4 linked regions of the Stegostoma tigrinum genome follow. The main gene of each other region encodes a partner of the protein of the gene in region 4 in a complex. Links are inferred from orthologs where the notes say so. Each region holds a gene or a part of one and is shown on either strand. Other genes may lie near its edges. The genes, in order: gtf2h5, gtf2a1, polr2h and gtf2f2a.

Region 1 (6,842 bases), on a different chromosome or scaffold from region 4:
GAGTGGTAAGACCAAGTGTAACAGGCACCTTGGCACTTTAGGAATGTATGATAAACAAGGTCTTTGTCTAAAGCAGATCATCTTGGAATTCAAGTACTATCTATGTGACTTACAATGTATGAATATCTAATTAATCCTCATTGAGTTAGAATGCTATCTTGGAATCTTTCCTTGGGCAGACCGTCCCAGCACTGGATCAATGTATGATCATTGACCTCTACCTCAACAATGCCCTCGGATGAAATACATCAGGACCTGGGAACTTTGTTCTTGGCTTTATTAATAAGGGCATAGAGTACAAGAGCAGGGAGATGATGTTGAACTTGTGCAAAACACTTGTTAAACATCAGCTGGTGTATTGTATATGTTTGTGGGCACATTACAGGAATAGTGTGATTGCATTGGAGAGAGTGCAAAAATGATTTATATGAATGATCATAGAATCCCTACAGTATGGAAACAGGCCCTTCAGCCCAACAAGTCCACACCGACCCTTGGAGCATCTTACCCGACTCATCCCCCAATAACCCACCTAATCTACACTTCCATGCACACTATGGGCAATTTAGCATGGCCAGTCCACCCAGTCGGCACATTTTTGGACTGTGGGAGGAAACCAGAGCACTTGGAGGAAGCCCACACAGACACAGGGAGAATATGCAAACTCCACACAGGTAGTTGCCAAGGGTGGAATCAAACCTGAGTCCCTGGCACTGTGAGGCAGCAGTGCTAACCACTGAGTCACTGTGTCACCCCATGGATGGTTCAAAGAATGAGATATTTCAGTTCTGAGGATAGGGTGAAGAGGTTGGGACTGTTCTCGTTGGAAAGATAAGGCGGGAGAAGATTTGATAGAGGTTTGCAAAATCATGATCAGTGGGGAGAAGCTGTTCCTTCTGAAAAAAAGTAAAAAAAAATGAGTGGGCATAGATTTAAAGTGATTTAATTGAACTGGCACAGGCATGATGGGGCTGAATGGCTTCCGTATTTATCCTAGGTTGCTCCGGGAAGCGAGAAAGGAGGTTGCTAAGCCGCTGGCAAAGACCTTTGCTTCCTCACTCTCCACGGGAGTCACACCGGAAGATTGGAGGGAGGCAAATGTTGTTCCTCTTTTCAAGAAAGGGAATAGGGAAATCCCTGGAAAATACAGACCAGTCAGTCTTATGTCTATGGTCAGCAAGGTTTTGGAAAGAATTCTGAGGGATAGGATTTATGACTATTTGGAAAAGCATAGCGTGATTAAACGGAGTCAGCATGGTTTTGTGAGGGGAAGGTCATGCCTTACCAATATTATTGAGTTCTTTGAGGAAGTCACGAGACAGGTTGATGAGGGTCGAGCAATGGATGTGGTGTACATGGACTTCAGCAAGGCATTTGATAAAGTTCCCCACGGCAGGCTCATGCATAAAGTCAGGAGGTATGGGATACAGGGTGATTTGGCTGTCTGGATTCAGAATTGGTTGGCTGACAGGAGGCAGAGAGTGGTTGTAGATGGTAAGTATTCTGCCTGGAGGTCACTGCTGAGTGGTGTCCCGCAGGGCTCTGTTCTTGGGCCTCTGCTCTTTGTAGTTTTTATAAATGACTTGGATGAAGAGGTTGTGGGGTGGGTTAGTATGTTTGCTGATGACACAAAGGTTGGAGGTGCCATTGATAGTATGCCGGCGATTGCAGGCATCAGCAGGACATTGACAGAATGCAGAGCTGGGCTGAGAAATGGCAGATGGAGTTCAACCTGGATAAATGCGAAGTGATGCACTTTGGAAGGTCGAACTTAAATGCTGAATACAGGATTAAAGGCAGGATTCTCGGCAGTGTGGAGGAACAGCGAGATCTTGGTGTTCAAGTGCATAGTTCCCTCAAAGTTGCCACCCAGGTGGATAAGGTTGTTAAGAAAGCATATGGTGTTTTGGCTTTCATTAACAGGGGGATCGGGTTTAAGAGCCGTGAGGTTATGCTGCAGCTCTACAAAACCCTGGTGAGACCACACTTCGAATATTGTGTCCAGTTCTGGTTGCCCTATTATAGGAAAGATGTGGAGGCTTTGGAGAGGGTGCAAAGGAGGTTTACCAGGATGCTGCCTGGACTGGAGGGCTTGTCTTACGAGGAGAGGTTGACTGAGCTCGGACTTTTCTCTCTGGAGAGAAGGAGGAAGAGAGGCGACCTGATCGAGGTGTACAAGGTAATGAGAGGCATGGATAGAGTCGATAGCCAGAGACTTTTCCCCAGGGCAGGATTGACTGCCATGAGGGTTCATAGTTTTAAGGTGTTAGGAGGAAGGTATAGAGGAGACGTCAGAGGGAGGTTCTTCACCCAGAGAGTTGTGAGCGCATGGAATAGTTTGCCAGTGGTAGTCGTGGAAGCGGAGTCATTAGTGACATTTAAGCGACTGCTGGACATGCACATGGACAGCAGTGAATTGAAGGGAATGTAGGTAAGGTTATTTTGTTTTTGGATTAGGATTATTCCACGGCACAACATCGTGGGCCGAAGGGCCTGTACTGTGCTGTACTTTTCTATGTAACAGTGCTGTGAATTTATGAATTTGTCAGCCTGCAGCTCCATCAGTTTGTTCATTACTACTTCCCTGGTGATTGTAACTTCACCAAATTGGTCTCTTCCTTCAGTTATGATCCTAGTTGATTTTATTATTGGACAAGTCAGATCTCAGTCAGGACCCTAGCTGAGATCATATTTTTATTTGTTGTGATCCTTTAACAATAAAATATATAGCAAATTCAAATATTTTAAATACCCAGTAAAAGTATAACCCAATAAGTCCCAACATATTATTTTATAAATTGAAAAGAAATGAAACAACTACTGTGTAATACCAAACACACCACTGCTACAGGTCCCAAACATGCTTCACATAATACTCACACTACAGTCCCTGTACCAGATTTAAGTCACATATGACTTCAATTTTTCTGGAATAAGATGTAGCTATTTTCATACCTGCGTTTCACTGGACTTATTTTAAGTAACCTTGTCAAGGTTTTTATCCCAACGCTTCTGGTCTGGGACTAAAAATGACTTTTCTCTCCAATCTAATCCACAGTATCTACCATTCTCTTCTCAGGAAGATGCTCAGATCTACATTGGATTGATTCATATCAGAGGCACAGTAACACTGTATTAGTCTGAGTCAGAGTTGCACTGTACTCATAAATCTGGTTGAGCAGTAGTAGGGTGACTAGAAGTAACAGCAGCAGGACAATCCTTAAAAATTGGGACAATTACCCAGAACTTCCGACTATCCTTAACTGTAAATGTCAGGGAGAACAATTTTATCTTTATACAATTAATCTATCTTGGAGTATACTTGATCTGTCTCTCGGTTATTAATCACATATCAAGCCAACTTTGCTGACTTCACAGGTTCCATGTTTTGCGAAACGTCTTAGCTGACATGTCCTTCAGTGGAATATGAGAATCCTTTATCAGAATACTAACTCATTGCTTGCACTAACTGTCATGCCTCCAACTCTCCTTGGTGCATATTTGGGTGAATTTTAACCATCAACCCTGGAGTCGATGTGTAGCACAGAAAGGGGAGGCCACTGAAACAGTGGCTTGAGGTTCCCTAATCACACTTTTAGAAACAAACATTGAATGTACTTTTCCAGCTGCCCACGTACTGTGGAAAGATATCCTGTTACTTTGGCACACTGACCAAATCAGTCATGCGTGATACAGCATACCAGACGTGTACGTATGACAAGACAATTCAATTTGAGATAATATAACAAACCGTTTGGAGGGAAATTTGCGGACAAAAAATAAACACATTTCCACAAGGAGGCTGGGACTTAAACGACTCCGACTCCGAACTGAAACGCTATATAACCCCTCTAATCATTTCGGTGCAACTCTGACCCAATGTGGTGTCATTTTGTTCGAGGTGCCGTTAACTGATTGGTCATGTTTGAATTGCGTGTGTTATCCCAGATCGCTTAGCGCTGCGAGAGAAGAAATGGTTGTTCCGTAGAGATCAGGTTTGAGTATTGAATCTTTTCTCCCCCCCCACCTTTTAAATTGTAAAACTTATGCATATGTGTTTTCGTAATGCTAATCCTTACTTGACCATGTTAATAATGGTGTGCTGTCTCGAGAAATGTCCCGCCTCCAACTGATGTTTCTTTTATATTGTATGGTAGGTTTGAGTTTTTTTCTCGGGGGGCGTGAAGGCGCCCATCACGGATCTGGCCTGATCTACGGTAATTAGCACTTTTCCACTTCATCTTACTTGGATGACAAGAATTAGTCACGCAGCACAGAAACAGGCCTTTCGGTCCACCATGTTTGTGCTGACTAACAAACATCAAACTGTACTAACAGAAGTTGCTAGAGATAAGAGATTGCTCGAAGTTCCTTCCTCAGAGGAAGAGTCACTGGACCCGGAACGTTAACCCTGATTTTTTTTCCTTCACAGATGCTGCCAGGCCTGTTGAGATTTTCCAGCAACTTCTGTTTTTGTCACTGATTTACAGCATCTGCAGTTCTTTCGGTTTTTACCAAACCACAGTAATCCTGTTTACCTGTATTTAGTGCACTACTGTGCCCTGGCATTTTAAGTGCCACATGCTTCTTAGGTGTTGCAAGAGTATCTGCTTCTGCTGCCCCCTCAGACACCGCGTTCCTTATTTCTACAACCCTCTGGGTGAAAATGTTTTTCTTCCGATCTCTTCTAAACAACTTGTTCCTCACCTTTAATTTTAAGCGTTCTGGTCTTAGACATGTATGCTGCAGGGAAAAGATTCTTAAGATTCTATATATCTTGTCTGCCTGTGCTTCTTATAATTTTGTATACCTCAATCAGATATCTTCTCTGCTCCAAGAAAACGAAACCCAGTCTTCCCTTACAACTGAGACTTTTCATCCGAGGCAACATCCTGATGAATCTCCTCTGTACCCACTCTACTGCAATCACATCTGCCCCATTGTGTAGCAAACAACATGGTATTCTGTTTGCGGCATAACAAAGTTGTAGCAAGACTTCCTTGCTACTATATTCTATGCCCCAGCTAATGAAGGCAAACATCATGAATGCTTTCTTCATCACCGTGTCCAGCTGTGCTGACACCTTTACGGACTTGAACACCAAAGTCCTTTTGTCCCTCAGTTCACTTGATAGTAAATTTAAGTGCGACTATTGGAATGATGACTGCAGAAGTAGAGCATCAAGTTAAGTGCCAGAAAGACACTGGTGTTATGTATATGTTTTCTAATCAACCTGTTAATAGATATTAGACACCTCTGGAATAGGTGGGCCTTAAATCTAGGCTGCCTGGCTCAAAGGCAAGAACATTACCGTTGTATCAAGAAGGCAAAATGAAGCCATCGAAGGCCAAGTTGAGACTATTTGATGGGACGGTACTCCACTCAATATCCAAACAATATCCACTCATACCAGCTGAAAAAGTTTTTAAGCATGGTTTGGTAACCTTGGTTTCACTGACCAGATCCTAAAGGAAAATGTTTCGACAGGTCTTTGTCACCCTGGTAAATAATTTGAAATAGATGAACAGGCGAGACCAGCTCAGCATCTGGAGAGATCTGGCTGCTCTCAAGTCCACCTGAAAATCAAGAGAAGTTGAAAAAGGAGTAATGAATCAAGGACGAGGCAACTCAGACAGATTGACTTGCAAAGTGATAGCAGTGAAATAACCTGGAAGGACTTCAATAAAACCTTGAAGAGATCTTACTACTGCCTGCTAACCATTGAAGATATTTCGTCATAATTTGTGAAGGCAAAGATCTTTACTATTCTCCTTGTGGTGGATACTAGCAAGTGAAGTTGGATGAATTCAGAAACTCTTGTGATGTTTGAGAAGTACCTGCAATTTGGAATTTCAGCTTCTTCAGAAGATCATCGCCACACAATGAGACAGCTGTTGACTTTTCTAGAGTGGAAGTGATTGGCGTTATCTGCTGGTCTGTTGATGTGTTGAAATGACAGAGGCCGTTGCACACCACATTCTTCTCAGTGCTGGAGAGTTCACCAGATGAAATTGAATCTGGACAAGAAAAGAAAACAGTTCAAGGTGCCTAAATTCAGATATGAGATTCACGTACTGACAGCAGTGGAATTGTCCCTGATAACATTGAGAATTGTAGTAGAGGTGTTTTAATTTAAAGTTCAGTAGTACAGGACTTGAGCTTTTCTGAAAAACTTTGTCTTGCACACATTAAGATAGCTTGCAAGAAATATTAATTTGTAAGGGAGCAACTACTTTATTGTATGAGAAGTGTGCTGATTGGTACAGGTGTTGCCATGGGGAATACACCAGTTAGGTGGTGATTGACAGGTAACTCCGGTTTTGTGTAATTTATTTAAACCAGGCAGGCTGACTCTGATTCGACTGGGAAATGAAGGAGAGAATAGCTGTTGCCTGTTTAATTGCGTTGAAAAAGGTGCTGTATGTGCTCATGTTCATTCAGTCTGCAAAGTCTGTAGCACACAAGTGGCTGCGCTATGCAGAGCTGTTGGGGGAGTAAAGAAGAGGAGAGAAGAGAGAATAGTGATACAAAATTCTGTCATGAGGGAAGCAGATGTTTCTGTAGCCGGTGTGTGGTAAAGGATGTCACTGAGTGGTTCTAGGATATTCCGAAGGGGTAAAATGAACAACCAGAGAGTATGGTTCATGTCCATGTCTACGAACACAAGTTAAAAGGGTGTATGATAAGCAGAATGTAAGGAGCTAGGAGTTAAATTCAAAAACAGGGCCTCAAGGGTAGTAATTTGGGGACTACTCCCAGGGCTGCATGGCAGTATGTTTAGAAATAGGAGAGATGGTGCAGGAGGGAAGATTTTAGATTTCTGAGGCATTAGGTATGATTCT
Region 2 (7,794 bases), on a different chromosome or scaffold from region 4:
CTCCCCATTTCTGAAGAAGAGTCCCAACCAGAAATATCAGCTTTCCTGATCCTACAATGCTGCCTGGCCTGTGATCCTCCAGCATCTGCAGTTCTTACTAACTTAGTTAGCACATGTTGCCCTTTATCCAACAGCAAGTGGAATTCAAAAGTGAGGAAGCAGTGCTTCTGTTTGACAGAGTTTGATTAGTTCTTATCTGGAGTAGCATATGCAATTATAGACCTCAAAACTTGCTTCTGAAGTGTACAAATTGACCTACTACACCCAGAGACATCATGACAAGTTTCACAACATTGGCTTGTAGTCTCATGTTTAGATGGTTGTGAACTGCTAAATCAAGACATTTCAAATAACTGAGGCAATTGTGTAGAGAGAAGCCATTTTGTTTGCTGGGAAAAGTCCATAATCTTAAATGAGAGCTATGTCAGTCAGAACAAACATCAGAAAGCAAATTTTCCACAAAGGATACTGGAAATCTAATCTTCAAAGTGTCAGGAATGCTGGGTCAATTGACATCCTTGCTGGGCAAAATTTTAAAAGAGTAAAGATTGCCTCCACTCAGCTTGGCCTAATTAAACAGTAGAAATAGGCCAAGACACTGATCTACTTCTATTCTTCCTCACAGCTCCGACACTTGTATTGGGAAGTTAACATTTCCCTGCTCAAATATTAAGAACTGTTTAAATTGCAAGACTTCTGAAAATGCCAAGAATTTAAAGAAATTTAAAGATGACATTTTGAAATAACCATACAAGTCTAACCATTTAGATGAATACAAGCTAAGAACTTTTTGCTTAATGCTACACAAATGTATAAATAAGATGATGATTCCCACCAAGACAGAGTTCTAAATATTCTCTAAAATGGAACTTCATCACGTACCAGTAATGCTGAAATCAAGTGAGAAATGCCATTTGGTCCATTTTTCCTTTACTAGTGCTTTGAGGAAGAGCTATCCAATTCATTCCACTGGGTTGCCCTTACCTGCCATCATGGACTATGTAAATTCAACCACAGCAACCACTGTTACAAATATTCATCTACTTTTAGAAAAAGGGTCATTCCTGATAATGAGTTGTCAACATTGCACTGGAGTAAAAAACTGAATTGGCAAATGCATTTGCTTCAGATTTTCAGTATCAGAAGTATTGTGGTTTTAATAAAATAGTTACACACATCTTGGTTGAATTACAAATGCAAAGAAAAACACCCTGATCTATAAAAGATGCTGCTTGCAGTCTGAATTCACATTCTCAGAAAGAACACTACAGCATAGCCAAGCCTGCAGGAGCTCACCGTTGAAGGAAAGCTCACAGCCTCTGACAGAACAGAAAAACAGTGAGGGGACCAGGGATAAGGGTGGAGGGCAGAAGGTTTGTCAGAAAGAAGGTAGATAAGTCACAGCCTAAAACCGATCAAGGGAACATACTTAAGCAGGCAGTTTACCCTTGGGCCTCACAGCTGCTGTTAAGCCTCCCTCTCTCCCTGCTTTCTTGCACAGCCCTTGCAGTCTGACCTCATATGCAAAGGGGACCCCCCCCCCCTCCTCATGACGTAGAGCTGGCAAGCACATCCCCACCGTGCAACCGAGATTATAATAGAGGAGACCATCTAGGAGGGGGAGGAAAGACAGAAGCAAGGGGAAGGAAGGCACAAACAACAGGCCACCCTCCACAAAACATTAGCTTATGGAGCAGAGAGACCGATTCACCAGATTGGCCACAAAAGGAAGGGGGACAGGACTAAAACCAAAGTCTTAGGGGCCCTGAAACAGGGAAAGGAAAGCATCTCGTGCCTCCTTCAGACCAACAACACAAAAATTTGTAAAAAGTCAGCCAGAAAACAAAATGGTTCATCAGCAAATAGTGCAGGCTCCATCTGTTTCTCTAGAGGGATCAGCAGGGGTGTGTTGGTGTTTCAGTTTTATTCCTTTTGTAAAATAAAGGTTATATATTTACCTTCAAAAGTACAAGTTTTTAAAAGCTAAAACTTAAATCAGACATGAGCCTGTAATATCCTGACAGCTTACCAAAAGAAAACCTTAGCACTTTTCTTAGTTTCAAACTTGACACACAATTAGCAAAAGCAGTTCTTGAATTGTGATTTTTCCAGGTGAAACCACCTCATGAATTCAACTTTTTATTTAAAAAAAATTACCATTCATTTTGATGTGCAACCCAAAAATTGAACCATTCACCCACCACTTTCTCCCCCACTCCATTTCTTTCCCAAGCCACTTTAGAAAGCACCTCAGCTTAAAAATGTAGTTACTAGTCCAGACAAAAGAAATTTTTACAGGAGAGAAAGGAGGGAAGTGTTTTCTCCCTCACCACCCCCCCTCAAAAAATCTGCTTGTAAAAACTAAAACTCCAGCCACAGCTCCTGACAAAAATCCAGTCAGTTTGTCCAAGATATGGCTTGCTTTGCTCCGCTAATTATTTTTAAAAATGTTGAGAAAGGGAGTCAAATCTTGTTTTCCTTTTAAAAAAAGGGAAGTTTTTGTTCCTTCCCCCCCTTTTCAAATGCCAACAAGTTTTCCGCTTTGCTGAATTTTGCTTCAAAATTTCCCCAGACAGAAAACAAAAGCAAAACATTACTTTTCACGTTTGGTTTTTCTTAAAATAAAAAAGTAGAGAGAAAAAATTGTTTTCATCCTCGGGAGTGGAAAAAGCAGATTTTAATGAAGAGCATAGATATAATTTTTTTAAAAATATATAAAATGGTTCCCATCTTAAAGTCTCTTTTATTTCGGAGGATTTAAAAAAACAACCACACTCAACACACAAAAAAATCTTACCACCGGGTTTGAGTTGGCCGAACTCGCCATGTGGATACGGAGGAGAATTTAAATGAAATATCCAGATGAGGTGGTTTGTTTTTTGGTCAAGAAAAAGATTTTTTTTTAAAACAAAAATAAAAGCGATTAAAATTGATTTTTGGCGGTGCTGCCTGAAGCGGGCTTGGGAAAGCCGTCCGTCCTCTTCCAGCGAGCGCTTATATACTGCCGAATGGAGCTTCAATTGCCGCTATAGGGAGGGTCCGGCAAATGAGGCGCTGCGTCAGCGCTTGTCTTCGCTCCCCCGCCCCCGCACCCAACCAACAAACCAAACCCCACCGCCCTCATCTCGCGAGAGTACCCACGGACACATCCGGGTCCTGCTACCTCCGCCGGGCATGCCGGGAGTTGTAGTATTTCCGTTCCCGCTCTCCTGCCGCTGCCATGTTTAACCCTGGATTTCCACAACAACAAACCACCATCGAATTCACCCCCCCTTCCCCCCCCACCCCCGGTTGCGGAAAGTAGGCCTTTGGGCCCATCGAAGAGCATCCCATCTCCCCCACCCACCAGATTCAGCCCGCTCTGTCGCTGCATTTCCCATGGCTGGCCCGCCCAGACACCGTGGGCAAATTTGGAAAAGTCAGCCCACCTAATCTACCCATCTTTGGATTGTGCGAGGCACAGAGCACCTGAAGGAAACCCACGCAGACATGGGGAGAACATGCAAACCCCACAGGGCCCCCAGTGCTGGGATTTAACCCCTGTCCCTGGAGCTGTGAGGCAGCAGTGCTCACCACTGAGCCACCATGCCACCTAAACCATGGGTGGAGGTGAAATTTGTGTTGCCCATGGCATCTGTGTCCAGCACAGACTCGTGGAGGCAGTGGTGGAGGCAGACCTGGGCCCAGAGCAGGCTCTTGGCAGTGGTGGAGTTGAGTTTGGCCTGGTATGGGACATGGTGAGGATTAATTGTGGCAGCAGTGTTGGTGGAGGCAAGATGACATCGAAGAGTGGCGATTCATGTTCTGGCAGCACGGCGAGGGTACATGCCCATGGCTAAGCACTCAACAAGACGGACTACAAAGTTGAACTTCATTTCTTCATTTTTCCACCTTTATATTCCACGTTATGATTCATCTTTCTGCGTTTTAAGATGGTGCCGGAGAGTGGTGACGCTACGCAACTCTTTTCATTGTGTTTTGTAACAAAATACATGTGACAATAAATCAAATCGATCAATAAATCTCTTGAACATTTCTTTCACCAAGACAGACTATAGAAACCATGCTTGCACCTTGAATTGTGCACTCCCTTCCCCAGGAAAACATTAACTTTTTATTAAACTTCATACACGGGATGAATGCGTCTCTAGGTGGGTCAGCATTCATTGTTGAGCCCCAGCTGCTCTGCCCCAGAGAACAGTCAAGAATCAACCACATTGCTGTGGGCCTGGAGTCACATATAGGCCAAACCAGGTAAGGATGGCAGATTTCCTTCACTAAAAGGGCATTAGTGAACTAAATAGTTTTTTTGACAGTGGTTTCACTGGTCATCATTAGTCTTTGAATTCAAGCTTTTAATTAAAATGGTAAAACTGATGGGTCATTGCCTTTGCCAGAGGAGCAGATTCAGTCCGTAAAGTCTGCTCCACCAACAAATAAGATCATGATAAGAGGTCAAAAAAAATCATGTTCCACCCCTCTCCTCACTGAGTTTTTTCTAAAATTTATTCATAGTATGTAGACATAGCTGGCTAGGCCAGCTTTCAGTGCCCATACTTACCCACATTGCTTTAGATCTGGAGTCAGCAGGCCAGGCCAAGAAAGGATGGGAGATTTCCTCCCCTAAGGGACATGAGTGAACCAGATGAGTATTTTTTTGTGACAATCAAGATCATTAGATTTTTAGTTCTGGATTTTCATTGAATTCAAGTTCCACCACCTACCACGATAATAAAATGTGAGGCTGGATGAACACAGCAGGCTCAGCAGCATTTCAGGAGCACAAAAGCTGACGTTTCGGGCCTAGAACCTTCATCAGAAAGGGTCTAGGCCCGAAACGTCAGCTTTTGTGCTCCTGAGATGCTGCTGGGCCTGCTGTGTTCATCCAGCCTCACATTTTATTATCTTGGATTCTCCAGCATCTGCAGTTCCCATTATCACCTCCACCACCTGCCTACGGCAGGTTTTAAGCCCAAGTCCCTAGAACATGACCTAGTTACCCAGATTGATTATTTAGCAATAATACCACTCAGCCATCACCTCCCATTAATGTGTTTTAGCTTGCTGTAGATCTGAACACCTCAATTTACAACTTTACTTCTCTTTCACACCTATTACCAGTGCCTTCAAGATGGCTCCTAAGTCCGTGGCTTTTCATCTTTTTCCTTTTGTCTGTATTTACCTCCATTTTTCAGATGGCATCGGTGGTGGAGAATTGAGCCAGCATGGACTCAGGAGACTCTTGGCCTCGCGGAAGCCCAGCATTGGACTCCCGGCCTTGAGCTGATGCCCAGCATGGACTCCCTCCTTTAGAAAAACTGTATTGCTGAACTTTGTTTCTTTATTTTTCTAGTTTATACCTAACATTTTATACCTAGGTATTTTTGTACCTAAGATGGACTGGAAATGGCAAATTTGTATACTTTTCACTTTTGCAGTTCTTACTATCTCTGCATCAATTTCTAACCCTTATTTGGACCCATTTCTTATTGGCCGTAGGTCTTTTCCATATCCCTGTTCATGCATATTCATACATCCCTCAACTTGAGTACATGTTACAGTAAACCTAATTCCAATTCTAACGTCAAATCAGATTAATTAAAATATAAGTGCAGTGGCTAAAACAACAGGCAGTGACTAGGAATATTGCAGGATTCACCTCCTGATTCCCCAAAGCCTGAGCACCATCTACAAGGCGCAATTTCCTTAATACTTCCCTTAAACTTTATCCCTCTCACTTTCAACTTATGTCCTCTTGTATTTGACATTTCCATGCTGGAAAAGAGATTCCAATAATTCTCTCTATCCACACTGCTCATAATTTTATATATTTCTATCAGGTTGCCTCTGAGGTTCTAGCGGAAACAATCCAAGTTTGGGCAGCCTCCTTCTAGCTCATAAACTCCAATCCTGGTAAACCTCTTCTGTACACTCTCCAAAGCGTCCATGTCCTTCCTGTATTGTGGTAACCAGAACTGTGCACAGTACTCCAAATGTGGCCTGACCAAAGTCTTATAAAGTACAACATGACTTGCCAACTTTTATAATTAATACCCTGAACAATGAAGGCAACATGCCATATGCTTTATTTACCACCTTATCCACTTGTGTTGCCACTGACAAGGAACTATGGAGTTGTACCACAACAACCCTCTGCATATCAAAGCACCTAAGGGTCCAACCATTTACTGTATACTTTTATCATTCATTTGACCTCTGAAAATATATCACATCGTACTCCTCGGGATTATACTCCATCTGCCATTTCTTAGCTCAACTTTCCAGCTGATCTATATTCTGCTGCATCCTTTGATATCCTTCCTCACTATCCATAACTCAAATAGTTTCATGTCATCTGCAAATCTATAATCAGACCACTGACATTTTCATTCACATTGTTTATTTATATCACAAACAACAGAGGTCTCAGACTGATTCTTGAGGAACGTTACTGGTTGCAGACCTCCAGTCAGAAAAACACTCCTCCATTACTGCCCTTTGTATTCTATGGCCAAGCTAATTTTGTATCCAGTTTGGTAACTCAATGGATTCCATGTGATTTGATCTTCTGGACCAGCCTACAGCACAACACATTATAGCACAGGACCAGGCCCTTCGGTCCACCGAGCCTCCATCAATTCCTAGATAACACAGTGTGGAGCTGGAGGAATACAGCAAGCCAGGCATAACCAGAGGAGTAGAAAAGTTGACATTTTGGGTCAGGATCCTTCTTCAGAAATGGGGAGGGAAAAGCAAGCTCAGAAATAAATAGAGAGGAGGTGTGGGGCTGGGAAGGTAGGTAGGATGGTGATAGGTGAGTGCCGGTAGGGAGTGGTGGGGATTGGTCAGTGAGGCGGGAGGGGCGGACAGGTGGGAGAGAAGATGGACAGGTTGGTCAGGTCAAGGAGGCGGGGAGGAAGGGAGGGGTGGACATGCAACGAGTTTGGTGGATGGGGAAATTTTGAAACTGGTAAAACCCACATTTAGGCCATTTACCAGTTTCAAAATTTTGCCTACCCCTGGCCTCTTCCCCCGCCCCACGCCTCCTCTCTATTTATTTCTGAATTCCCTTCTCCCTCCCCATTTCTGAAGCAGGGTCCTGACCTGAAACTGCCTGGCCTGCTGTGTTCCTCCAGCTCCAAACTCTGTTATTTCTGACTCCAGCATCTGCAGTTCTTACTATCTCTGCATCAGTTCCTAATCCTTATTTGGACCCACTTCTTATTGGCCATAAGTCTTTTCTATACCTCTGTTCACTTCCCGTTCATGTGTCTATCAAGATATGCCTTAAACAATGCTAATCTTAAACAGTGCTTCCACCACCTCCACCGCCAGTGTGTTCCAGGCAACCACCACCCTCTGTGTGAAAAATTTTCCCTACTCTGCTCCCCTAAACTTACCCCCTCTCACCTTGAACCTGTGCCCTCTTGTAATTGACCTTTCCTCCCTGGGAAAAAGTATCTGACTATCCACGCTATCTATCCCTTTTATAAGGGATATACCTTATATCCGGCTGTCAGGCTACCCCTCAGCCTCCATCTTTCATGTTTATCCAACCTCTCCTCATAACTAAACCCCTCCAGACCAGGCAACATCCTGATAAACCTTCTCTGCACCCTCTCCAAAGCATCAATGTCCTTCTGGTAGTGTGGCAACCAGAACTGCATGCAATATTCCAAATGTGGCCTAATTAAAGTTTTATACTGCTGTAACGTAACTTGTCAACTTTTATATTCAATGCACTGACCAATGAAGGCAAGTGTGCAGTATGCCTTCTTGACTAACTTATCCATT
Region 3 (7,060 bases), on a different chromosome or scaffold from region 4:
ACTCGAGCATTATAGCAATGTTGATTCAGCTGGATTGTAACTGAATCTGAAGTTTATTACAGAGTAACTACAAAAATGTGTATTAATTGTAATTCTTACCAAGTTCAACAGGGTAAATCTGTATATTTACATCAAGAATCAGGTCCATTTTAAAGGATTCACTTTCACAATGTAAGCGAGAAACTGTAAAAATGACACAGAAGTTCTATTATATGCCCAAAGGTATCTAAATATTGCTTTTACTGATCAGTTTATCAGAACTATCATTCACAATCAAACACTATCTTTTTGTAAGAGTAATATCTTGTTAAGATTGCATATTTATTGTCAATTAATTTTTTTTGTATTATAGTATATTCTCCCTCATTAAAAATACACAAGATTCACACCAGCCCAAAGGGCAACAAATTAATTCAAGCAGAAAAGCCAAATTTAGGCAAGAGTATATTTTGTTCATCATATTTTAAAATTGTTATGCATTATTACTTAGCATGGAAGCAAACATGGAGGTGCAGTATATTTAGTGCAGTGTACAAAGACTTCAAGGAGTATTTGACAAGATGTCACGTGAAAGAATATTAAAGGAGATAACCGAGCTTTGAATGAGGGGAGAAGATAAAAAAAAATTGGTCAAAAGGAGAACTGTAGGAGTTGGGGAAGTTTGGATCATTCTGGTAAAGGCTTAGTGGTATTTTTCATAGTACAACTGTGGATGCACTTATCTTCACTGCATTTATCGATGAACTGGATGTAGGAATAGAGAAAGCAGTGTCACATTTGCACATTGAAAAAAATCCTATTTTGAATTAAACAGACTAAAAGGAACATATTATGCAATGTTGTTAAATTGGAGAATGTATGAAAAATTGGCAGGTAGAACACAACAACATGCATTTAAACAACATTGTTAATTTGGGAAAGCATACCAGCATTAACAAAATTTGGCACCGGCCACATCAGAAGACAGTAAGTTGGACAATCAAAAGATTGGTCAGAGTCATGTTTTGGAAGCATCCTAAAGGATAAATGAGAGCTAGAAGACAGAGGGAGATTTAGAAAGAGAACTCTTGAGCAAAACGTAAGGCGCAACCACAAATGAAGTAATTACAAGATAATATTTGGTTTAGAAGGGGTGGACGCTTGGAAGTTGTTTCCGTTAGGCGGGGAGACTAGGACCCGTGGGCACAGCCTTAGAATTAGAGGGTGTAAAATTAAAACTGAAATGAGACGACACTTCTTCAGCCAGAGAGTGTTGGGCTTGTGAAATTCATTGCCGCAGAGTGCAGTGGAGGTCGGGACGTTGGATGCCTTCAAGGCAGAGATCGACAAATTCTTGACCTCAAAAGGAATCAAGGGCTATGGGGAGAGTGCAGGGAAGTGGAGTTGAAATGCCCATCAGCCATGATTTAAATGGCGGAGTGGACTTGATGGGCCGAATGGCCTTACTTCCACTCCTTTGTCTTATGTTCTAAAATCAGGGAAGCTCAAAAGGCCAGAAATGAAGAAATGCAGGCATCTCAAAGGGTTAAAATTACAGTGTTCAGGATGAGTAGGCTAAGGATCTGAAAAGAAGGATGTGAATTTTAAAATCAAGGCATTGCTGAAACAGCAAACAAAGTAGGTCAGTGAGGACAAGAATGATATGAAAAAAAGAATTCTGTGCAAGTTAGGCCACAAGCAATAGAAGTGATTTCAAGTTCACAGAGGACAGAATATGGGAAGTCAAATAGGAAGCCTTCTCACTAATCAAATTCTAAGGTAACAAAGTTATGAATAAGAATTTAAAATGCAGATGAATTTAGGCAGATAATCGCAAAGCATGAAGTGATGCATTCTAGTTAAAAAACAAAATTATTTTTCAAACAGAAGTTGTTTTGTTGTTGAGGAAGTGCAGAAAGATGTAAGAGTATTATGGCTCCACAGCTAATTAAAAGCAGCACATCAGTAAAAGCAAATTATAATGGAAATTTAAGTTTTTCCATACAAGATATATTGTAAATAAAGCAATAGGTACTAATGTCAATTGTATATAAGTGATAACAAGTCATTAATGCCCATGAGAAAATACAAAGGTTTAAAAATTGGATACTGGCTTGATAGGACACATATTTGATGCAATACAATATTAATTTAAAATTATTAAAGAGTGAAGCATGTTTTTTGAAGCTTTTTCCACCAATTTAATGGAACGGTACCTGTCCTGTGTCTATTTTCTACAGCAGAAGCTGAATTACAGTAAGTAGAAACAACCTAATTAATAAAGACTATTCTTCATGAGGAATATTATTGGAATCCAAATGCAAAAGAAGTTTTTTTTTTATTTGTTTCGAGGCTGTGGGAATTCAATTCCAGCCACATTCATGGTTGGGGAAGGGCCACATGCGTGTTGAGACTGAATAGTGAAAGTAGAACAGTGAATAAAACGGTCGGTGTAATAACATCCCTGAACAGCTTGATTAGAAAATTAGGTTTAATTAAAAAAAATGTAAGGATAAGAACAGGAGGTGTAAATATGATCTGAATTATTGCCTGCTATGGAAGCAGTTTGGGTTTGCTCGGTCCGAAATGGGGCTTTTGCAACTTTCCACAATTGCAGGAAAACACATATACAACATCACAGGAATTGGTCGTAGGAGTAAATCAATGAACTAGATACTAGTATTAAACGAAGCACTGGAAGACTGTAAAAAATGCTAGTTAGAAGTGGAGGACGAAAGCTGAATCACTCTATTCCCTTCCCTATGTTGGACATGAACTGCCTGAACCCATTCATTTGGGGAACTCGAACACCCAGGAAGCAAAGGCAGCAGGTCTCATCTCTTTCCCTTACCTCTGTCAAACTTTACACCTTCCGGGTCAATATCCTTCACATCAAAGATATCCTCAAATAAAATTCCTGCCATCCTTGTACAAATAAAATTACTGTTAACTTCTAGCAAACACAAGCAAGAGAATTTCAAACTACTGCCAAACAGGCCACGACAAATCTCTCGGAGTATGCCGGGATACTGGCAGACCTTCCCTGCCTCCCAGTAGATTGGCAGCAGCTCTATGTGAGTATATGACCGCAGTTCCGCCATCTTTAATCAAGGCATTGCTTTGTGTTTCAGTACATGGGGTTTACTGAAAGGTTCTTTCTCCTAAACGTAAATAAACAAGCTTAGTTCTTTTAGGTCTTTATATTTTGAACAGTTTCTTAAACGTTGATGGAAACATATGAAAAATACGACAGGCACTGTAAATCTGAAACTTATAAATTGTTTGGGACTTCTCTGGGTCTGTTAGCCAGCTATGGATTCAGAAATAGCATTAACGGGCTGTCTCTTCGTGCGGCCTTCAAGACCAAGTCCACACTTGCTAGTAACCAAGGCTGGGCTCAGCATTCTTCCTGGAAGCAGCATCCACCCACATTTGTCCACCGCCTGCAACATTCACTCATTCCACCAACACGCAATAAAAGCAGTATATGCCGTCTACAAGATGTACTGCTGCATCTTGCCAAGTTTTTTTGGACCAAAACTTCTCCCTGTGACCCAGCAGGACAAAGTCAACAGGCACATATGAGAACATCACAATCTACAATTTCCCTTCCAAGTCACGCCATCCGAACGAGGAAATATGTCATGTTTCTTCACTGTGGCTGGGACAATATCCAAGAACTTCTGTACTGTGGGTGTGCTGACGACACACAGACTGCTCTCAGACAAATAGCCAGGCCATAAATGCTGGCCTTGACAGCATTCTTCACATCCTATGGAGTAATAAGATGATGAATATAACTGGTTTCCTTGCCAGCTTCACCACATTGAGCTGTCAAATTGAAGAGTCAGTGGAAAAACTGTTGCCATTGCTCCTCAAGTCTTTCCTGGTGAAAAATTTCAGCTGTCCAGCTTCAGGCTTTGCCTAAACAGAATCAGAGCTTGCCTTTCCTGTTTTGGGTGTCAGTACAGACACATTCCACTGGGATAAGTGATTACCAACTGAAAGCTTAGTGAAAGCTCCAGCACTGAAATCCATATCTAAGAATTGAGGAAGTTCTGAGCAAGTGGAAAATACACCACTTCTCCTAGAGACTGTGGTGAAAGGTGTCATTGACAGTTGAAGAGGTGGCAACTATATGAAAGTTGAAAGCCTCAAGCAAAGTTTTTGGAGTATGAAAGTGCTTGATTACAGGTTTTTGTGGGAATTGTCTCCAACTCTGCTATAATGCTTAGTACCAACTTCATATAGTTAATGGTTAACGAGTTTTGAGAAGATTTGTAGCTCAGGTTGAGGTTCTGGATGTGAGTTTGCTCGCTGAGCTGGAAGGTTAGTTTTCAGACGTTTCGTCACCATTCTAGGTAACATCATCAGTGAGCCTCCGACGAAGCGCTGGTGTTATGTCCCGCTTTCTATTTATCTGGTTAGGTTTCCTTGGGTTGGTGATGTCATTTCCTGTTCTTTTTCTCAGGGGATGGTAGATTTAATCCCAACCCAAGGAAACCTAACCAGATAAATAGAAAGCGGGACATAACACCAGCGCTTCGTCGGAGGCTCACTGATGATGTTACCTAGAATGGTGACGAAACGTCTGAAAACTAACCTTCCAGCTCAGCGAGCAAACTCACATCCAGTTAATGGTTAATGCTGGAACTTTGAGAGTCAATGCAGCACTTGAATAGTTCCTCCAATAGGAGGCAGTCAGCAAACTTTCAGCATTTTACCTTGATGAACGCCAAGGTTTTTGCTCAGAAGGCTCTCTTAGGTTACAAAATTTGGTAGCTTCTAACCTGTCCCGAGTCTGATTCTGAGGTGTTGTACAATCTTGTTAATGTCATTCTACCAGTTATCAGGCTGAGAATTGTGCCAGCGGACCCAAAATGCAACACAAGGGTGCTTGGTGTCAGCCAAGATGCAGCTGCTACTACGTTTCCAGGCATCAGTGCCAACCCATGCTCTGTCTCTCCTACAGCAAGAAAAACATCCTGTCTTTGTGGGATACTGCAAGAGGTATTTCTCTTGCATCAGCCTTAACAAAGTAACAATAAAAGTAAAATACTGTGGATTAAGGAAATCTGAAATAAACACAGAAAATGCAGGAGAAACTCAGCTGGACTATCAGCATCTGTGGGCAGAAGCAGAGTTAGTATTTTGAGCCTGGCTATGCCTCTTCTTCAGAACTATAAATAAAACTGATGAATTGTCCTAATTCTGGACAAGAGCAGGAAGCAACACCAAAGGCATCATCAATACATCAGAGATAGAATTGTGAGTGGGAGCCTGAGTACAACTGGAAAAAGGAATGATTCCAAACACTACATTAGAGAGATGGCCAAATCCGAGGCCCGTGCAAGTATCAATGAGCTTCACCTTTGACTTGCAGTAAATCAGATGAGTTAAAGGAAACGTTGTTCAAAGTGAGAACAAGCTCAGCCAGGTGAAGTATGATGGTATTAGCTTCTTTTCAAGGGAGAAAATGGAGAGCCTTCAGACCATCCTGATGGGGGATGGCTTTGCTAAGGCCTTTAATGCCCATGGTGAAGAAGAGGTGGCTAGGACCATCATTATAGAACCAACATAAAGCATCAGAGGAATCATGAATGGAAGTTGAAAGACACTTAACAAGGAAGGGTAAAAATAGAGTCAAAATAAGAAGAAATAAGTTCAGTGGAGTAAGAACAGGCTAAAATGATGGGCCTGCCTCGGCAGTCCTGATTGTGGATTTTGAAAAGCGGGTTATACGTGGCTGGGGGCCTATGAATTGGGAGCTGTGAAGGAGAGATCTCTGAAGGAGATGAGGTCAGTGATAGTCCTGGAGACTACAGCCCGATGTTCAATGATCAATGTCAGGTCATGATCCAGGGGGAGATAGGAGGAAGTGTCTGAGAGTTGGCACTCTGCCAGGTACTAGTTAGCATGGCAGATGACAGCCACTCAACCGTTATTGATAGTTTTGATAACAAGACCTGAGAGAACGGAGTTCAGCAAGTTCAGAGGGAGATAGATGTGAGTGGGTGAAGGGATTAGAGAAATTAAGGTGGCCAGTGTCACACCAGCAGTTCTCAATGAAGAAATGAAGAGCTTGCAAAAGACCAGACAGAGGAGTCCAGGTGGAGGGGATGCATTGGAGATAGGGGAAACAGCCTTTGTGGCTGGGAGAGGATTCCTGTCCAGGGTCATGGGCACAGAGACAAAGACAACAAAAGAAGAGTTTAGCACCATGTTGTGCCTGAAATTCATTAAGCTGGTTACGTCCCTTGCTAAGCACAGTTCATTCAGCATCAGAGAGGGGAACATAGGAGTTAGGAGTATGAGTAGGCAATTCAGCCCTTCAGGCCTGCTCCACCATTTAAAATGATCATGGCTGATCTTATCCTGGTCTCAATGCCGCTTTCCTGCCTGCTTCACAGTTCCCTTTCTCCCGCTTTTCATCACAAACAGTACTATTTTTTTCTTGAATTTGTTAATTGATTCTGCCTTCACTGCAATCTGGAGCAATGAGTTTCACAGAATCACAACCCTATGAGAGAAGTAGTTTCCCCCATCTCAATTTTGAACTTACCTGCTCCCATGCTATATCTATGACCTATTGTTCGAGACTGTCCCACAAGAAGGAACATACATCCAACGTCCACCTTATTAGTCCGCTTTAGCATTTTATATACCTCAGTCAAATCCCACCTCATTCTTTTGAACTCCAGTGAGAAGAAGCCGCAGCTATTCAACCACTCCTTGTATGACAGCCCTTTCATCCCTGGAGTCAACTTGGTGAACCTCTTCTGAACTGTCTCCAGTGCCACTACATTCTTTCTTGAGCAAGAAGACCAAAGCTGGACACAACACTCCAAATGTGTTCTCACTAACACCTCATATAATTGTAACAGCACTTCTTTACTTTTATAATCTAGTCCTCCTGCAGCAAATGCTGGGATTCCATTTGCTTTTCTTGTTATATGCTGCACCTGCATACCCACTTTCTGTGATTCATGCAGAAGCACACTCAGATGCCGCTGCACTGATGCACTTTGGATGTGCTTCCCAATTAAATAATAATTTGCCCTCTTATTTGTCGGGCCACTTG
Region 4 (7,549 bases):
CACATTCTAACCGCTATAACCTCAAAGTTCAAGATATTTCATGTCTCCAGTAAACCCTTTAGATACTATTTTGTATTTGTAGCCCCCTATTTCACACTCTCCCATAAGTGTTACACATCCTCTTCACACGTATCCTGTCTAACCCACTCATTCTGAAGACCTTAATGAGGTCACCTATAAGTCTTATTTTCAAAAGAAAAAGAAAAACCCAGTCAGTTTAATCTGAAAAGGAAATCTTCTCAATCTGATGTCAGAACATCAAACAACAATATAATGCAGGAAGCAAATTCTACATTTAGCTTTACATTCCATTTAAGCCTGCAAATAAAACTGTCAGGAACAATTTTTTCTAAAACGTTCAGCAATTAGTAAGAAACGATCTCCTCTCAAGATCTGACATTTAGATAGTAATGCAAAGATCTACTATTAATATTTCCAATATCATTCATGATGATCACAATGAGTCATAATGATGCTCATTTGTACCAGAAACACTTAATCAAGCCATCTACAGTATATACCAGCAGATGCTAATCCCATAGCATTACTCATGACAAGATAGGTGTCAAGTGTTGTGAAAGGGCTGAGGCATAAAATGCAAAGAACAATACTTTACAATCCAGGTTAAGTTTTAAGGTCATAAGCTTTCAGCAGTTGTTGAACAAACATTACAGGAGTTTGTTCTTAAATAGAACGGCTATTCAGGCTGTGCAGGACACTCCTGGGTTTATCCCATCATGCCACTCCACCAGGTGTAAGAGATAAATCTGCTGTTTTTGAACAGTACACAAATCTGGGGGTGACAGATAGGAGATAGCTGGCAAAAATACCTTTCAATTGTATTTCCTTCCTTGCATTCTCTTACCTCAGTTTTTCCTTGATTCCTGTTAAATAGAAAGAGGAAGCAGATTAGTTTCATGCTCACCACTTTACCATTTAAAAACCACATTTGTCAGCCTCTGACAGCTACTCTGGTGACAGAATAAAGGTCACTTACTTGGCTATCCTTATTTTTCCGACTTCACCTCTTCCTGTTGCTTTAGCCCATTGCTGAGAAAGGTATTTGGGGACCTACAGACATGTGTAATACAAACAGTTATTTACGGTAAGCATGAAGGCCAAAAATAAAACACAGTTTGCTTATGTAATAGCCAGCATTATCATTTTTGTTAATTTTTTCTGAGGAGTGATAGCTCAAAGTAGGGAATCAGATTCTCCTGCAGAGCCCAGTGCAGGTGAAAAAGTGAGCACAAGGGAGAGTGGGAAAGCTGGGCTGCACAAAAGAGAAAATAAAAATGTGTCAGTACAGGAAGTCAAACTTCAAAAACTGACCAGACGCTGCATATGGAGCTATTTCAGATTGCAAAGAGGAGCACTTTGGTAAACAAAAAAATCATATTTTATTATTTTAAAGGACATGATGAACAGGGGTAATATACCCCCAGTGATTCTTTGTGCAGAGATTCACTTTAGGACCTCAAAGAAATTGATGTCTGACATCTACACATAACATATTATGGATTTTTCTGGATTATAAAATCTGTCCAGACTGTGTCCCAACAGTCATAAGAATTTAAAATATTTGAATTAACATTTTTGATAATACAAACTCTCAATAAAGCAACTAGCTAACGACCAGGTTTTTCAATTATAATCACTGTATGAAAAACACTTCATAACTAATCAGTTAAATAACATTTAGTGCATCAAGCGTGAGTTCTATAAATTAATGCTGTACAAATAAGATGGATATGAACTGTTCAAAAGATTTTAGAATATACCAACAAGGCCTGTCATACTCTGCTTTGAACAGTGTTTTACAAAAGGAGGTGAGTAATGAAGAGACAGGGATTCTAACAGTTAGCAATGAAAGAGGGATATCCTAAGTTTTAACACATCTGTTAAACTACCCTAAGATGTGGCAGACCCAAAACAGTGGCTCCATAGCTCAGCAGCATACAGGTTGCGTTGCTGACTCACCAACACTCAGGAGAAGAGGAAATTGGAGTGCTAAGTTATTGCAGTATTGTCATGGGGTTCCTGCTTTCAATGGTATTTCAGCAAGGGTCTGCCTTTGAAGACAGAGAAGGTGAATGGGATTACCAAACTGGGCCAACTCAAAAGAAACCCGAGAGATATTTTCACAAGGACGGAGAAAAGAGTATTTGTATTTTAGGTATAGACAGTGAATACTTGAGTAAAGGAGACAGGAATGATTGGCAACCTAGCTATGTGAGGCCCTTTGAGGAAGTATGATCATAATGTTATATAGAATTCTTTACTTAGATGGAAGGTGTAGTAGGTGACTCAGATTCGGATCCTGAATCCAAATGAGGTTAGGGTGGTATGAGGTGCGAACTGGCTATGATAAATCAAGGAATGTTACTTAAAGGGATGATGGTGGATAAGCAATGGCAAATATTAAAACAGCACATGGGTGAACTGTCACAACTGTACACTCCTGTCCGGGACAAAAATAAAATGGGAAATGTGGCTCAACCATGGCTAATAAGCGAAATTAGGGATAGCATTAGATCCAAAGAAGGGGCATACAAATTAATCAAAAAAGTAGATGCGTGGATTGGGGGGAAGTTTAGATTTCAGCAAAGATGGATAGAGGGATTGATTAAGGGGGAGAATGGGGTTTGAGAGTAAGCTTGTGGGGAACATGCAAACTAAATATAAAAGCTTCTATAGGTGCATGAAGAGGAAAGGAGGTGGGAAGCCAAATGTACCCCTTACGGTCAGAAACAGGATAATTTATAATGGGAAACAAAGAGATGGCAGACCAGTTAAATACATATAGTTCTGATCTCACAAAGATGGGCACAGATAATATCCCAAAAACGTTGGGAAACTTTAGTCAAAGGGAGCAACTGAACAAAACTAGTTTTAGTAGGGAAATCGTGTTGGGGAAATTGATAGGATTAAAGGCAGATAAATCCCCAAGGCCTGATAATTTACATCCCACACAGTACTTAATGAAGTGGTCCTGGGAATAGTGGGTGCATTGATGGTCATCTTTCAAGATTGTTTAGACTCTGTGGAACAGTTTCTATATGTTAGAAGGTAGTTAACTGTGACCCTGTTAGTTTAAAAAGGCGATTGAGAGAAAACAGAGAATTATAGGCCATTAGGCTAAATATTGGTAGTGGGGAAAATACTGTTATCCTTCTAAGATTTAGAGCAGAGCAACTGGAAAACAGAGGCCAGATTGGGCAGAGTCAGCATGAATTATGAAAAGAAAATCAGTTGCTAAGGGGAAGAGTGTGGATGGGCTTACTTGGACTTTCAGAAGGCTTTCAATAGATGTACCTAAGAGATTAGCATGCAAAATGAAAGTGCGAGGGATTAAGGGTAGTTTAGATTAGAAAAGATTCCCTACAGTGCGGAAACAGGCCCTTCAGCCCAACAAGTCCATACCGCCCCTTGAAGCATCCCACCCAGACCCATTCTCCTACAACCCACACACCCCTGAACACTATGGGCAATTTAGCATCACCGATCCACCTAGCCTGCACATCTTTGGATTGTGGGAGGAAACCGGAGCACCCGGAGGAAACCCATGCAGACACGGGGAGAATGTACAAACTCCACACAGACAGTTGCCCAAGGCTGGAATTGAACCCAGGTCCCTGGCGCTATGAGGCTGCAGTGCTAGCCACTGAGCCATACTGACATGGGAATGGAGAACTGTTTGGCAGGAAACAGTCAGAATAAATGGGTGTTTTACCCAAAAAGCAGGCAGTAAGTAGGGAGGTGCTGCAACAGTCAGTGCTTGGGCCCCAGCTATTCCCAACATATATTAATACTTTAGAGAAGGGAACTAAATGTAATATCTCCAAGTTTGTAGATCACACAGGACAGGTGGGAGGGCGAGCTGTGAGGACAACACAGAGATGCTTCAGTGTGATTTGGACAAGTGGAGTGAATGGGCAAATTCAAGGCAGGTGAAGTATAATGTGGAAAAAGCGAGGGTAACATTTTGATAAACAAAAACAAGGCCGCAGATTATTATCTTAATGGTGATAGGTTGGGAAACACGAAGTTATGTTGAGACCTCAGTGTCCTAGTGCACTAACTGCTGAAGGAAAGCATGCAAACAGTGACGGCAGCACATAGTATGTTGGCCTTCATAGTGACAGGGTTTGAGTACAGGAGCAGGGATGTCCTGTTACGATTCTATATGGAGAGACCACACCGGGATCATTTTGTGGAGTTTGGGTCTCTGGCTTTGGAGGGGGTGCAATGCAAGTTTATGAGCCTATTCCTGGGATGGCAGGACTGATGCATTAAGAGAGACTGGATTGGTCAGGTTTACAAGCACTAGCAGTTTGAAGAATGAGGGGCATCTCAAAGAAACCTATAACATTCCAAGAGGAATATACAGGGTAAATGCAAGAAGGATGTTCCCAATGACCAGTGAGGTCACAGTTTAAAGATTCAGGATAGGCCATTTAGGACTGTGATGAAGGAAAATTTCTTTATTCAGAGAGTGGTGAACCTGTAGAATTCACTGCCACAAAAACTGGTGAAAGCCAAAATACTGAATGTTTTCGGGAATGAGTCAGATATGGTTCTTTTTGCTAAAGGGCTATCAAGGGATATGGGGAGAAAGCGGTTACAGGGTATGGAGTTGGATAATCAGTCATGATTCTATTGAATAGCGCAGCAGGCTCAAAGGGCTGAATGGCCTGCTCCTATTCTCTATGTTTTTAAAACACATGGCAGCATATGTGAATAATCATATATATGCATCTTCTTTACATTAAAAACAAATCGCGCTTTACATTCTTTCCAATGCGGACACAGGGGAGTGGCAGTGAAAGGTCGGTGGATATTTGTGAAAGGAATGCCCAAAGTTTCCAATGAAAATGAAGCAAGTCCAAGTGTTTTTAAATTGGGTCCTGGAAAATAAGTATTTCCTGTAACAACTGCAGTTGCATGAAAACATACTATGTGCACAAGAATGTTAATGCCGTTCTATTCCCGTCTGTTTATTCCTGAATTAGATTCAGAAAAAAAAGTTGCATCTTTCATGCAGACCTTCAACTCAAGGAACTTCAAATTCCTCACCCAGTTTTTCAATTGTTTTGTACAAGGAAAATATTACAGAGGTCAAAAATATAATACAACGTCCTAATTTTTGAGTTCTTAACATGAATAGAACCACAGATTTTCTAATTATCCATCTGCCCCCTTCTGTGATTAAAATTAAACAACTGATAGAATCAATGTGGAAATTTAGTTGGGTAGAAGAACATGCAAATTAAATTCCTATCTTACTTTCTAATCACTTGGAAAGTACTCAACAAGTACTTTGAGCAACTTGACTTGTTTACTTTCCCTGGTTTTTTTTTGATTACTGCTTTGCATTTACAGATCTTCTGAACAGACTGAATTTTATTCCTGCTCTACATACTGGTTGATTGGTACAGTGCATACCTGTTATGAATGCAAAATTGGAGCTAGTGAAGATGAAGTGTGACTCAGAAATGAGAAAGGAGGTTACCAAGTGTGACTGGTAAGAGCATGCACAGCAACAATAATTATGCAGCACCTTTCTGTACCCTCATCAACAAGAGAGACGTCTCCATGCCGGCGCTGCTTCACGCTGATATGATTGTTTGCAACTATGGCATCCTGGTCAGAGCTGAGTAAACCTCAAATTGAATTACCTGCCTCTTTCTCTACTGCAGCCCATATGGCACTTCTTTCTCAATTTTTCCCTCCAGCCTCAATGAGCCGCAAAGTTCTCCTCTTTGACTTACATCCTCCAAAAATCACTCTGTATAAGAAAAACAAATGCCCCTCATGCCCTTTTTAAATTTTTCTCCTCTCACCTTAAGAATACGCCTCTTAGTTTTCAACTCCTAGGGCAAGGAATTTTGCTATTCACCTTATGTATGCCCCTCATTATTTTATAAACCTCTAAGGTCGCCTCTCAGCCACCTACACTCCAGAGAAAAAAAGTCCCAGCCTATTTTTATAACTCAAACCCTCCATTCCCACCAACATCCTGGTACTTTTTTTTCTGAACACTCTCCAATTTAATATCCTTCCTGAAGCAGGGTGACCAGAACTGTACTCCAGAAAAAGGCCTCTCCAACATCCCATACAATCACAAAATGACGCCCCAAATCCTATACTCAAAGATCTAACCACGAAGGCAAGCGTGCCAAATGCCTTCTTTAGCATCCAGTCTACCTGTGATGCCAAATTCAACCTGAACCTCTAGGTCTCTCTATTCGACAACACTTCCCAAGGGGCTACTTTTAATAGTATAAGTCCTGCTCTTTTTTGTTTTACTAAAAAGGCAACACCTCACATTTATCCGAATTAAACTCCACCTGCCACCTCTCAGCCCACTGACCCAATCAATCAAGATCTCTTGGTAATCTTAGATACCCTTCCTTACCGCCCACTAAGCCATTAATTTTGGTGTCATCCTCAAACTTAATCGCAATATCTTCTATATTCTCATCACAGGTACCATATTTCTTAAATTGTAAAACTAATATTTGTTTGGCAAGGGACAGGATAAACAGAGTGTGTAAGAGACTTACAGTTATCTGGAACTCTCTCTCCCAGGGTCTCCTCCAGAACGTTCAACTGGGGCATCATTCAGGACAACCTTAATGTCACACCAAGTTCTACTCACTATCTCTACTCACCTACATTGGCTACTGGTCACAATGCTTTAGATTTTAAATGCTCATTTCTAAAATCTTCCATAACCTTTGGTTCCCCCTAGCTCTAAACTCCTCCATTCCTATCACCCACTTCTCTTGCCTGCTGTACATCCACTTCTCTCTCTCTGCAGGCACCAGTACTTGTCACTTCTGAGTATAGGAGTTAGGAACGTCATGCTGAGGTCGTACAGCACATTGGTGAGGTCTCTTCTGGAGTTCTGTGTCCAGTTCTGGTCGCCTTGTTATAGGAAAGATATTATTAAGCTGGAAAGGGTTCAGAAAAGATTTACCAGCATGTTACCAGGAATGGAGGGTTTAAGTTTTGGGGAGAGGCTCACGTATTTATCCAAACGTCTTTTAAAGGTTGTAACTGTACCCATATCTACCACTTCCTCTGGAAGTTCATTCCACATAGGAACCACTCTCTGTGTAAACAAAATGTTGGCCCTCATGTCCTTTTTAAACCTTTCTCCTCTCACCTTAAAAATATGCCCACTAGCCTTGTAATCCCCCACCCTGGGGAAAAGACACCTCCCATTCACTGGACTTTTTCCACTGGAGTGTAGAAGGCTGAGGGGTGACCCTATGAAGGTTTATAAAATCATATGAGGTATAGATAAGGTGAATGGGAGATGTCTTTTCCCCAGGGTGGGGGATTTCAAGGCTAGGGGGCATATTTTTAAGGTAAGAGGAGAAAGGATTAAAAAGGACATGAGGGCCAACATTTTGTTTACACAGAGAGTGGTTCCTATGTGGAATTAACTTCCAGAGGAAGTGGTAGATACGGGTAGTTACAACATTTAAAAGGCATTTGGATAAATACATGAATAAGAAATCCATGGAGGGATGTGAGCCAG

Evidence for each region.
Region 1: gtf2f2a (region 4) and gtf2h5 share a complex: the UniProt entries of both Homo sapiens proteins name them as parts of the TBP-based Pol II pre-initiation complex. The link is inferred for Stegostoma tigrinum from reciprocal best matches to the Homo sapiens genes GTF2F2 and GTF2H5.
Region 2: gtf2f2a (region 4) and gtf2a1 share a complex: the UniProt entries of both Homo sapiens proteins name them as parts of the TBP-based Pol II pre-initiation complex. The link is inferred for Stegostoma tigrinum from reciprocal best matches to the Homo sapiens genes GTF2F2 and GTF2A1.
Region 3: gtf2f2a (region 4) and polr2h share a complex: the UniProt entries of both Homo sapiens proteins name them as parts of the TBP-based Pol II pre-initiation complex. The link is inferred for Stegostoma tigrinum from reciprocal best matches to the Homo sapiens genes GTF2F2 and POLR2H.

What each region holds. Positions count from the first base shown.
Region 1 is NC_081362.1:31,606,049-31,612,890, forward strand, and holds the start of gtf2h5 (general transcription factor IIH subunit 5), read left to right. Parts: upstream 1-3,833; 5' UTR 3,834-3,995; intron 3,996-4,157; 5' UTR 4,158-4,217; intron 4,218-6,842. UniProt on the Homo sapiens protein: Component of the general transcription and DNA repair factor IIH (TFIIH) core complex, which is involved in general and transcription-coupled nucleotide excision repair (NER) of damaged DNA and, when complexed to CAK, in RNA transcription by RNA polymerase II.
Region 2 is NC_081363.1:9,877,338-9,885,131, reverse strand, and holds the start of gtf2a1 (transcription initiation factor IIA subunit 1), read right to left. Parts: upstream 3,012-7,794; 5' UTR 2,828-3,011; coding exon 2,798-2,827; intron 2,178-2,797; exon of another isoform or gene 2,161-2,177; coding exon of another isoform or gene 2,158-2,160; intron 1-2,157. UniProt on the Homo sapiens protein: TFIIA is a component of the transcription machinery of RNA polymerase II and plays an important role in transcriptional activation. TFIIA in a complex with TBP mediates transcriptional activity.
Region 3 is NC_081367.1:41,069,229-41,076,288, forward strand, and holds the start of polr2h (DNA-directed RNA polymerases I, II, and III subunit RPABC3), read right to left. Parts: upstream 3,012-7,060; 5' UTR 2,904-3,011; coding exon 2,831-2,903; intron 184-2,830; coding exon 100-183; intron 1-99. UniProt on the Homo sapiens protein: DNA-dependent RNA polymerase catalyzes the transcription of DNA into RNA using the four ribonucleoside triphosphates as substrates.
Region 4 is NC_081365.1:74,518,646-74,526,194, forward strand, and holds the start of gtf2f2a (general transcription factor IIF subunit 2), read right to left. Parts: upstream 3,022-7,549; coding exon 2,965-3,021; intron 1,072-2,964; coding exon 998-1,071; intron 885-997; coding exon 866-884; intron 1-865. UniProt on the Homo sapiens protein: TFIIF is a general transcription initiation factor that binds to RNA polymerase II and helps to recruit it to the initiation complex in collaboration with TFIIB.